Linked DNA regions of Schizosaccharomyces pombe. The protein of the gene in region 1 interacts with the protein of each later gene in a pairwise test. Each region holds a gene or a part of one and is shown on either strand. Other genes may lie near its edges. The genes, in order: ppk22 and SPOM_SPCC417.11C.

Region 1 (4,446 bases):
TTCCCTAAATATCGAATGTCATTGTCTGTGAAATCAATTGCATCGTGTACGTCCCTTAACACTCCTAAATTTTCAATTATTGGAATCTGATACCCTGTAATTATGAGTTAGCTGGATGACACGTAGCATACAGTAATTTCTTTAAACATATCTTAAATCAAGCTCAGTTTCTTTCAAAGGACTGATGAATGAGGGTACCTGAGACAAAAATTCAGCATTAAGACGCATGAAATTTTTGTAATGAAAATGCCTTTTTTATGCTGTTACTGCAGTATGATTTAAAATTCCTAAAAAATTATCCAAAACGCTCACAATCCTAAATTTCACTATTGTTTATTCAAAAAATGTTATAGTTAACGTTTTAGAATCTAATAATGTAAAGTTAATTATGTAAAAACCAAGAATATGACACGTCAAGAGAAGAAGCAAAGTGGTAGAGTTTGGATAGTAAGCACATAAATAAATACAAAGAAATCTTGACTCAATAAGCAAAAAATACTCACTTTTTCTACTTTTTAGATTTAAAAAAAACAAATTATGCGTAATTATACTTTGATAATTGACTGACGACTTCCATGTTCAAGAATCGGCTTTCGTACTAGAAAATTCTTGGGAAAACAGAGAATAAATGATTTTTGTATATGTGTGTTTTGACACCTTTAAATAAAACATTTTTTCATTGTTGTCAAATATATATCTTAAGTTTGTCAGAAATTGGTACACACTCTTTTATCTGTTGAGCTCTCAAAAACAAACACAAGCAATCGACTATTTGGATGAAACACACATTGTTTTCCACTCAAAGTTTTAGTTCAACTCATCTATAATGTTCATACTGCCTCCCTATTTGACTTCGTGAGCACAAACCGCCAACGAAAGTTTGAAACCAGGTTATTTACAATTATTCAGAGTTGCTTAAGGAACCTGTTTTCCTATTAAAAAATTGCATTGAGATACTTACTAAACTGCTATATCTTTTTGTTTTCTCATTTAATGAAAAACATTCCAAAAACAATATTGACATCAAGTCGTTTTTTAATGTAACAGTTTTAATGAATTCTTCAGATTGTTTCTATCGTATTGCTCTATCTCAATGAAAGCACTGCTAAGAAATTATATTTAAATTGATATGACAGCTTCTAATATCGAATCAACTATCCATCCTCATACTAATACCACATGAGTCGGACTAATTGAAAATGCCAGCGATATCGACAAATGTACATCGACATTTCGGATAATGTTTGGGTTTAGAGTAGCCTCTTTTGTAGTTGAAAGTGGAAGAAATACATGATTAAATGTTGTGCTTCCATAGCTCGTGTACTTATAAATCATACAGTCACTCTTGAGAATATGAAATTAAAAATCACTGCATTTATTCTAACACTTATTCTGTTCCAGTAAGAATTATTCAAACTGAATTTACTACAAAACTACAGATCAATACCCACACATAAAAACCAAAAACAAGTTTTTTCTTTTATTTACAATAGCTTCAACTAAGTATTTTGAAGCTGCTTGTTAGTTAATGCTACAATATGACTGTTTATTTCTATATGCTTAAAAAGAGGATTATATAACATAAGGATGGCCGTGGCTCCACTAACTATTCTTTTGCCGACACCTCCAAATGAAACAAGAATTAATATAAGCAGGAGGAATACCATTCGGCTAGTTATATTAGACTATTTGGGAGCTTTGAAGTCGTTTTTCAAGTTTGCTTACATTCTGATTTATATTAGGTATTATAAGTGAGCCGTCAGCGAAATTTATTAACCGGTGAATGTTTGAAGCGCTACGAGATTAATGGATGACTTAGAATGGCTCGAGAAACTGAATTTAATGACAAAAGTCCCTCTTCCACCGATGATGGTATGAGCCAGTCGCACTTTTCAGATAAACTGAAAAATTTGTTTCACTTTCGTAGGAATCGAGCGGCAACCGTTTCTACTAGTGTCCGAAATGATCAGAGGGATAATGATTCTGATGACTCAACCTTTGATATTAATGTTAATCAATTGAATGAATTAGATCTGAATGATAGTAGCGATCAATTGGATAGTCGTCCCAGCCTTAGACGCGTATCTTCCGCACCTGATTCTCACAAAGGAGTAGAAGCGCCTCCTCCTCGTCCTTTAATTAATATGAGCAATATTCGAAAGGCACAGGTCAAGATTTTAAAAAACCCCGGCAACTACATTTTTGGAAGAACTGAGTACGGCAAACGAACTTATTCTGGGAATAGTACAAAAATTAGCCGAGTAGAAGTCACACCTCATAGTTTTGAAAAAATACGTCTTCTTGGTCAGGGTGATGTGGGTAAAGTGTATCTTGTTCGCCAAAAAAGCAACCATCGGCTCTTTGCTATGAAAATTTTAAACAAAAGAGAGATGATTAAAAGACACAAGGTAAACAGAGTCCTTGCAGAGCAAGAAATTTTGACCAAGAGCAAACACCCGTTCATTGTTACGTTGTATCATTCCTTCCAATCTAGGGACTATCTTTACCTTTGCATGGAGTATTGTGCAGGTGGAGAGTTTTTTCGTGCATTGCATTCCCTTCCAAAGCATATTTTACCTGAAAAGGATGCTTGTTTTTATGCAGCAGAAGTAACGGCTGCGCTGGAATATCTTCATTTAATGGGATTTATATACAGAGATTTGAAGCCGGAAAATATATTATTGCATCAATCTGGCCATATTATGTTATCCGACTTTGATCTTTCAAAGCCAATTTCCATTGTCACACATCCAACAGTCGTACTTCCAAAACATTCTACCTTCTCACAGGAGAAACCCGCGTTAGACACTAATTCCTACTTTTCTAATTTTCGCACTAATTCATTCGTTGGAACAGAGGAGTATATTGCACCAGAAGTAATCCGTAGTTGTGGTCATACTGTTGCAGTCGACTGGTGGACCCTTGGTATTTTTATATATGAAATTCTGTATGGAACTACACCATTCAAAGGTAAAAACAGACATGCTACATTCTCTAACATTTTATACTCTGACGTTAGCTTCCCAGAGTATCATGGCGCCCCCAACGTGTCGAGTACGTGTAAGAGCTTGATCCGCAGGCTTCTTGTAAAAGATGAGTCTAAAAGATGCGGTTCTGTCGCTGGTGCCTCTGACATTAAACAGCATCCTTTTTTCCGACACATTCAATGGGCGCTGTTAAGAAGTATGAAGCCTCCCATTATTCCCAAAATCGAAGATGGTATGGAGGCAGTTGAACCTTCTGATAATGATAATGAAGAAGAGGATTTTTTAAACTCTCAGTACCTTATCTCTGCGAATTTACCTGCAGTTGATATGCATTCCTCTACGCCTGTTAATGAACAGAGCAATCCTTTTGACAGTTTTAGCTCTGTCACTCTTCATCATGCTGGTGATGAATAAACTTACTTTGCTATTGTGTAACCTAGAGGCCATGGAAGTTGCCTTGGCTGTAAAAAGTTTTCACCGTTCCCCTTTTCCCCTTTTCGTTTTAATTTAAATAGTTGTCTTGAAATTGATGATAGTAATGATCAAAATTTATTTATAATCTCAAAATGTGCTGCTATTTATTAAATCGCAACCATATGTTACATATTGCTTGTAGCTAGCTACTAACGTTAATACCTAATACCATCTTCATCTCTTGATGGATATTTTATTTTATTTTTTTTTTTGGTAAATGGGGTAGACTTCTGGCTTCTTTTCAGTCCTAATTAAACTAATATTATAAGAATGTTAACTTATACTTTTCATCGATATTATCAAAAGTGATTTTGGATAGTAAATACGACAGTCCATTCTTGATATTGGAGCAACCGGCATTTTTCGACTACTCTTAAACTTGCTTACTTATGCTCATTTTATTATCATTTTTGATATAAGTTATCAAAATGATGGATAAAAATATTTAAGATACTTTATTAAAGAAAATGAAGCGTAGTTATAAAGACATTATTCGATTTTTGAAATTAATTGGAATTTCTCATTCAACAGCGATAAAGCTAGTAGATGGGATACTTCCCGTTATGATAGGACTCAAAACAAGTTATCTCGTCGATTGCGTTTTTTTGGAAATTTCTGAATTAAGAGAAATTATCGAATTCGTAGGCCCGGATTGCTTACGGGGCATCTATTTCACGGAGCCCATTTCACAATGTTTCGTATTGCATGTCGCAAATTGGGAAGAATGGAGTTCCATAGATTCATTGGTACCTATAGTAGTAGATTTACCTTCAAAAAAGCAAAATCGGCTATTGCAGTCTTGTATAACTAAACATGTGGATCGACTTTTGGACCTTTGTAAAAGAAACTTGTCAACGTTCACAATCGATATATCTTCTTCATGGCGACAAAATATTATTGAAAATAATGAACAGAAAGAATTCGAGTGCACCAGTACAGCAATTACAGGTTGTCTACTAAATTATGGTGCTACATACAATTATGA
Region 2 (4,276 bases), on another chromosome or scaffold:
TTGGTGTTATCTATCTTATCGGATACTGTGTGGGAAATTTAATCGGCCCTCAAACTTTCAAAGCTGCTGACGCTCCTGAATATATGCCTGCTAAGAACACCATGGTCGGTTGTTATGCAGCAACTTTAGTCACATTTCCTGCTCTTTACTATGTTAATTGGAGAGAAAACAAGCGTAGGGATCAATTGGCTGCGGAGGGAAAGATTGAGCATCGTCCCAATGCTGAATTTGAAGATCTTACAGATTTTGAGAATCTTGATTTCAGATACACTTTATGATTTGTACACTTTGCAGGTCATTGCTTTCTAATTATTGTATACTACTAATGAGTGTACGGAAACTACCGTAATAACTTTTCATTCGAGTTATTAAAGCAGGTTTTAGTCGTATATTCCGAAATATTTCTTTCTTAGCTGGAATACACTTTTAAGAGAAAGAAAGTTTCTGTTTTTAGGAACACTATTCCTTTTAATTATTTTGATTTTCCTTGTCCATGGTTTCTTGTTTAACTTGATGTCGTCGATTGACATATTGTGCTTGTATGTTTAGCTTTATTATTAATTTTTGTTATTATTTTCTTATTACGACTTTAATAATATACTCGTCTTACGAACGTTACTGAATACTGTAGATTTCCAAGTAGCAAAAGTCCCCGAGACTTTTTCTCGGAAACTCACAATATTTAAGATAAATTTAGCCTTCTATACATATATTAATCAACCTAAACATCAATTGTAAATATCTACGAACCAACAAAGAAAACTAGAAGAATGCAAATGTCAAATAATCAGATCATAGACAAATTGCTGTTAAGAATAACCTCAAACAAAGTTTGAGCTTCATAGCGACTTAAAAGCCTGATTTGAAAGTTTTAATAAACTATTGTCACATTTCAACATCTTCAAATAGGGCAGTATAAACTTGTCACTTTCGTCTGCTCAGTTTTAAGCTCCAATTCATTTAACTGAAATGCCTATGATGGAATATTTCTCATATAAAGTAATCATTTACATTTATTTTGTGTTGTGGAAATCCTTAACCATTCCATTTCATCATAACAAAATCAAAATTTCATATAACCTAAATAGTAGTTAGTCAACATTGCAAGAAAAATGAGTGATTCATCGCCTCAAAAAAAATTCTAAATCTCTTTTTTTTTTTTGTTTAAATTAGCAAAAAAATAGAATATAATTTGCCAATCCAATAATATAAAATTTATATTCTAATAAGAGACATCCTTCTATGAATCCATGCTTTGATTGTTAGCTTAAACGCTTCCAATTCGGATTCTGTAAGGACAAGTGAAAGTGTAATCATCCCCCGGCGAGCAATCCAAAAACCTTCCTTTAATAAATCCATCCACAAAAGATCTTTAAGTTCAATAACCTCACCAGCCGTATCATTGTAAGAATTTACGCGACCAGATTCAGTGAAATGAATGTTCATAATAGATCCTAAGCCTGTAATAGACATCTTGGTATTATGGCAATAAGACTCAATATCCTTGCGGAGCCCATCCCCTAACGCATTGAGTCTTTTTACTGCTTCGGGTGTATATAATTCAGTCAATCCAACGTATCCAGCTGTCAATGTAAGGGTGTCGTTGTTAAAAGTACCAGAATGAGATAAAGAACCTGGTAATCGAGGATCGAAACAACTCATAATATCGGCGCGTCCACCAAATGCACCAAAAGGAAGGCCACCACCCAAGTATTTGCCCAGCGTAGTCAAATCAGGCTTCAAACAATAAATTTGCTGTAAACCGCCGGGGCTAAGTCTTGAGGTCATAACCTCATCCAATATAAATACAATGTCATTTTTCTCACACTCTAGCTGAATCGTCTGCATAAATTCTTTGTCGGCTGGAATTGCACCACCCGCTCCTTGCATCGCTTCTACAATTACAGCTGCAATGTCTTGAGAAGAGTTCACCAATTCCTTAAATTGTGTGCTATTGTTGTATTCACAGAGAATGAAATCTTGACTATCCATATTGTATGGTGAAATACCATGCGCAAAGCTCAATGGACCGCCATGATAACCTCCATGCATTGCGATTACAGCCCTTTTTCCAGTGAATTTCCTAGCAGCAATTATAGCAGTGATATTGGCTTCTGTTCCAGAGTTGCAGAATCTTATTTTCTCAATGCTGAGAAAGCGACTTTTCAACGCTTCTGCGTAGTTTAGCTCGCAAGTAGTAGTTCCTCCCAACGAAATTCCAATTTCGTCGAATCCCTGCATAAGCGCTTTTTTTATCACAGGATTAGAATGGCCGTAAATACCAGCAGTTAGCTCATTAAGAAAATCCGTATACTCATGTCCATCCACATCTCGAAGTTTCGACCCATATCCAGCTTCAATGAAAATAGGGAAAGGAGCTCCATGAAGAACAGTTCTAGTGTTTCCGCCTGGCAAAGAATCACAAGCCTTGCAATGGAAATCATTGGATTTCGGATTTCTCGCAATGAATTGAGCCTCCGACTTCTCCTTGGCTAAACTGAGGTCCGATATCTCAGAAACCATATTTCTCATTATCGAGAGTCAATAAGCATGATAGTCAACAAAATGGGTATCTTATATCTTTGATCCAAATCTAAGGAACACGGTTAGTGTACCCGATCCAGAAATCGGCTGCTGTACCCGATATTTGGATCGTTAAAAGGAAGGTTTTAGGACGATAAAGATATTATTGTTGAAGAATTAGAAAATGTATGAGTCTCCAATTATCTTAGGCTCCAAGCCTTGCACACTTAATATCCCTGGAATGGGTGTGCTGCATGGATTGACTGTTTTGGATGAAAACGGTAAAGAGAAATGTCATAGATTCACCGGCATTCGTTACGCCAAACCTCCAGTGGGGAAATTGAGATGGAGAAGACCTGTTACACTTGAAGACGGTTATGACTATAGTGGGGATTACAACCAATTTAAAACTATATGCCCACAGCCTTTTTACAACAATCGCAAGAATCAGGTTCGTAATCCAGATTTTAAGTATGATGAAGACTGTTTGTTCTTAAATATTTGGGTCCCTGCTGGAGAGAAACCAGCTGAAGGTTGGCCTGTACTCTATTTTATTCATGGAGGATGGCTCCAAGTAGGAAACCCTCTACACTACAGACAGTGTGATCCACAGGATTTGCAAGCAGATGGTTCTCCAGCTAAGTTCATCTTGGTTTCACCGGGCCATAGACTTAATTTGTTTGGGTTCCTTGCTGGCAAGGAACTATTGGAAGAGGACCCTAAAAGCAGTAACTTTGGATTTTGGGATCAACGTCTGGGCTTGGAGTGGACCTACAAGCATATTGAATCGTTTGGCGGCAATAAAGAGAACATTGCAGTTGGCGGAATTAGTGCTGGATCATACAGTGCATTGTTCCAACTGATTTACGAAACCTATCATCCTGAAGCTAACCAAATCATTAAGCGCGCGTTACTCCTATCAAATGGATTGTCAGTTCAACCCAAGTCAGTAGAGGAATCTCAAATTCAATTCAACGAGTTAGCCCAAAAGTTTGGCATTCCATTGGAACTGAGCAGTGCGGAAAAGCTTGAGAAACTTCGGGCCATTCCCTTTCAAGATTTAGCAGACAATATTCTGAATCTTCGTTTGCATACATTCAGAGCTGTTACAGATGGAGATTTTGTAAACCCAAACACTTTTAAAGATATATACGACGGTACTTTTGGTAAAAGGATAAGAGATTCTGGTAGAGAGTTGATTATTGGTGAAGTAAACAACGAGCATTCCATTTATGCAAATACAAATCCACCAAAGTCCAAGGAGGATTTGTTTAACCAAGTTAACAACTATTATCCAGAGAAGGTTACCAAAGCACTCTTAGAGTTGTACCCCAAAGTCCCCGATATGGAAGATGAAAAGGAATACTTAGCAGCCATTAAGGCCCTTTTCGGAAGCATCGTCTCTGACATGCAAGTCTATGCTTCCACCAGAGTTTTAATTAATGGACTCGTTAAAGGCGGAGTTCCCTTGGAGAAAATATACAGGTATCGTATTGCTTTCAGAGGAAAGTTCTTTGATAAGTATGAACCTCCCGAGAGTCTTGTTCCCCATGCTGGAGATTTAGGTCTTTGGTTCTACAATGTTGTTGATGGTATTTTACCTGAGGAAATCCCCATTTACAAAGCATGGCTAAAATCTTATGGAGAATGGATGTCTACTGGCAAGACAGATTGGGGCACAACGAAGACCGAAGAGTATCGTTTGTTGGATGCAGATGGCACCATTAAAGTTGTGGACGATGAGAAATGGGAC

What was found.
Region 2: the proteins of ppk22 (region 1) and SPOM_SPCC417.11C interact in a two-hybrid assay, tested with the Schizosaccharomyces pombe proteins (one large-scale study listed by BioGRID).

Annotation. Positions count from the first base shown.
Region 1 is NC_003423.3:4,145,836-4,150,281, forward strand, and holds ppk22 (serine/threonine protein kinase Ppk22), read left to right. Parts: upstream 1-1,616; 5' UTR 1,617-1,820; coding exon 1,821-3,401; 3' UTR 3,402-3,642; downstream 3,643-4,446. Other genes in the region: U2 snRNP-associated protein Lea1, read right to left, coding at 1-86, 148-228; SPOM_SPBC14F5.01 (uncharacterized protein), read left to right, coding at 3,929-4,446.
Region 2 is NC_003421.2:1,696,975-1,701,250, forward strand, and holds SPOM_SPCC417.11C (glutamate-1-semialdehyde 2,1-aminomutase aminotransferase), read right to left. Parts: upstream 2,547-4,276; 5' UTR 2,533-2,546; coding exon 1,216-2,532; 3' UTR 687-1,215; downstream 1-686. Other genes in the region: dipeptide transmembrane transporter Dal51, read left to right, coding at 1-278; SPOM_SPCC417.12 (carboxylesterase, type B family protein), read left to right, coding at 2,708-4,276.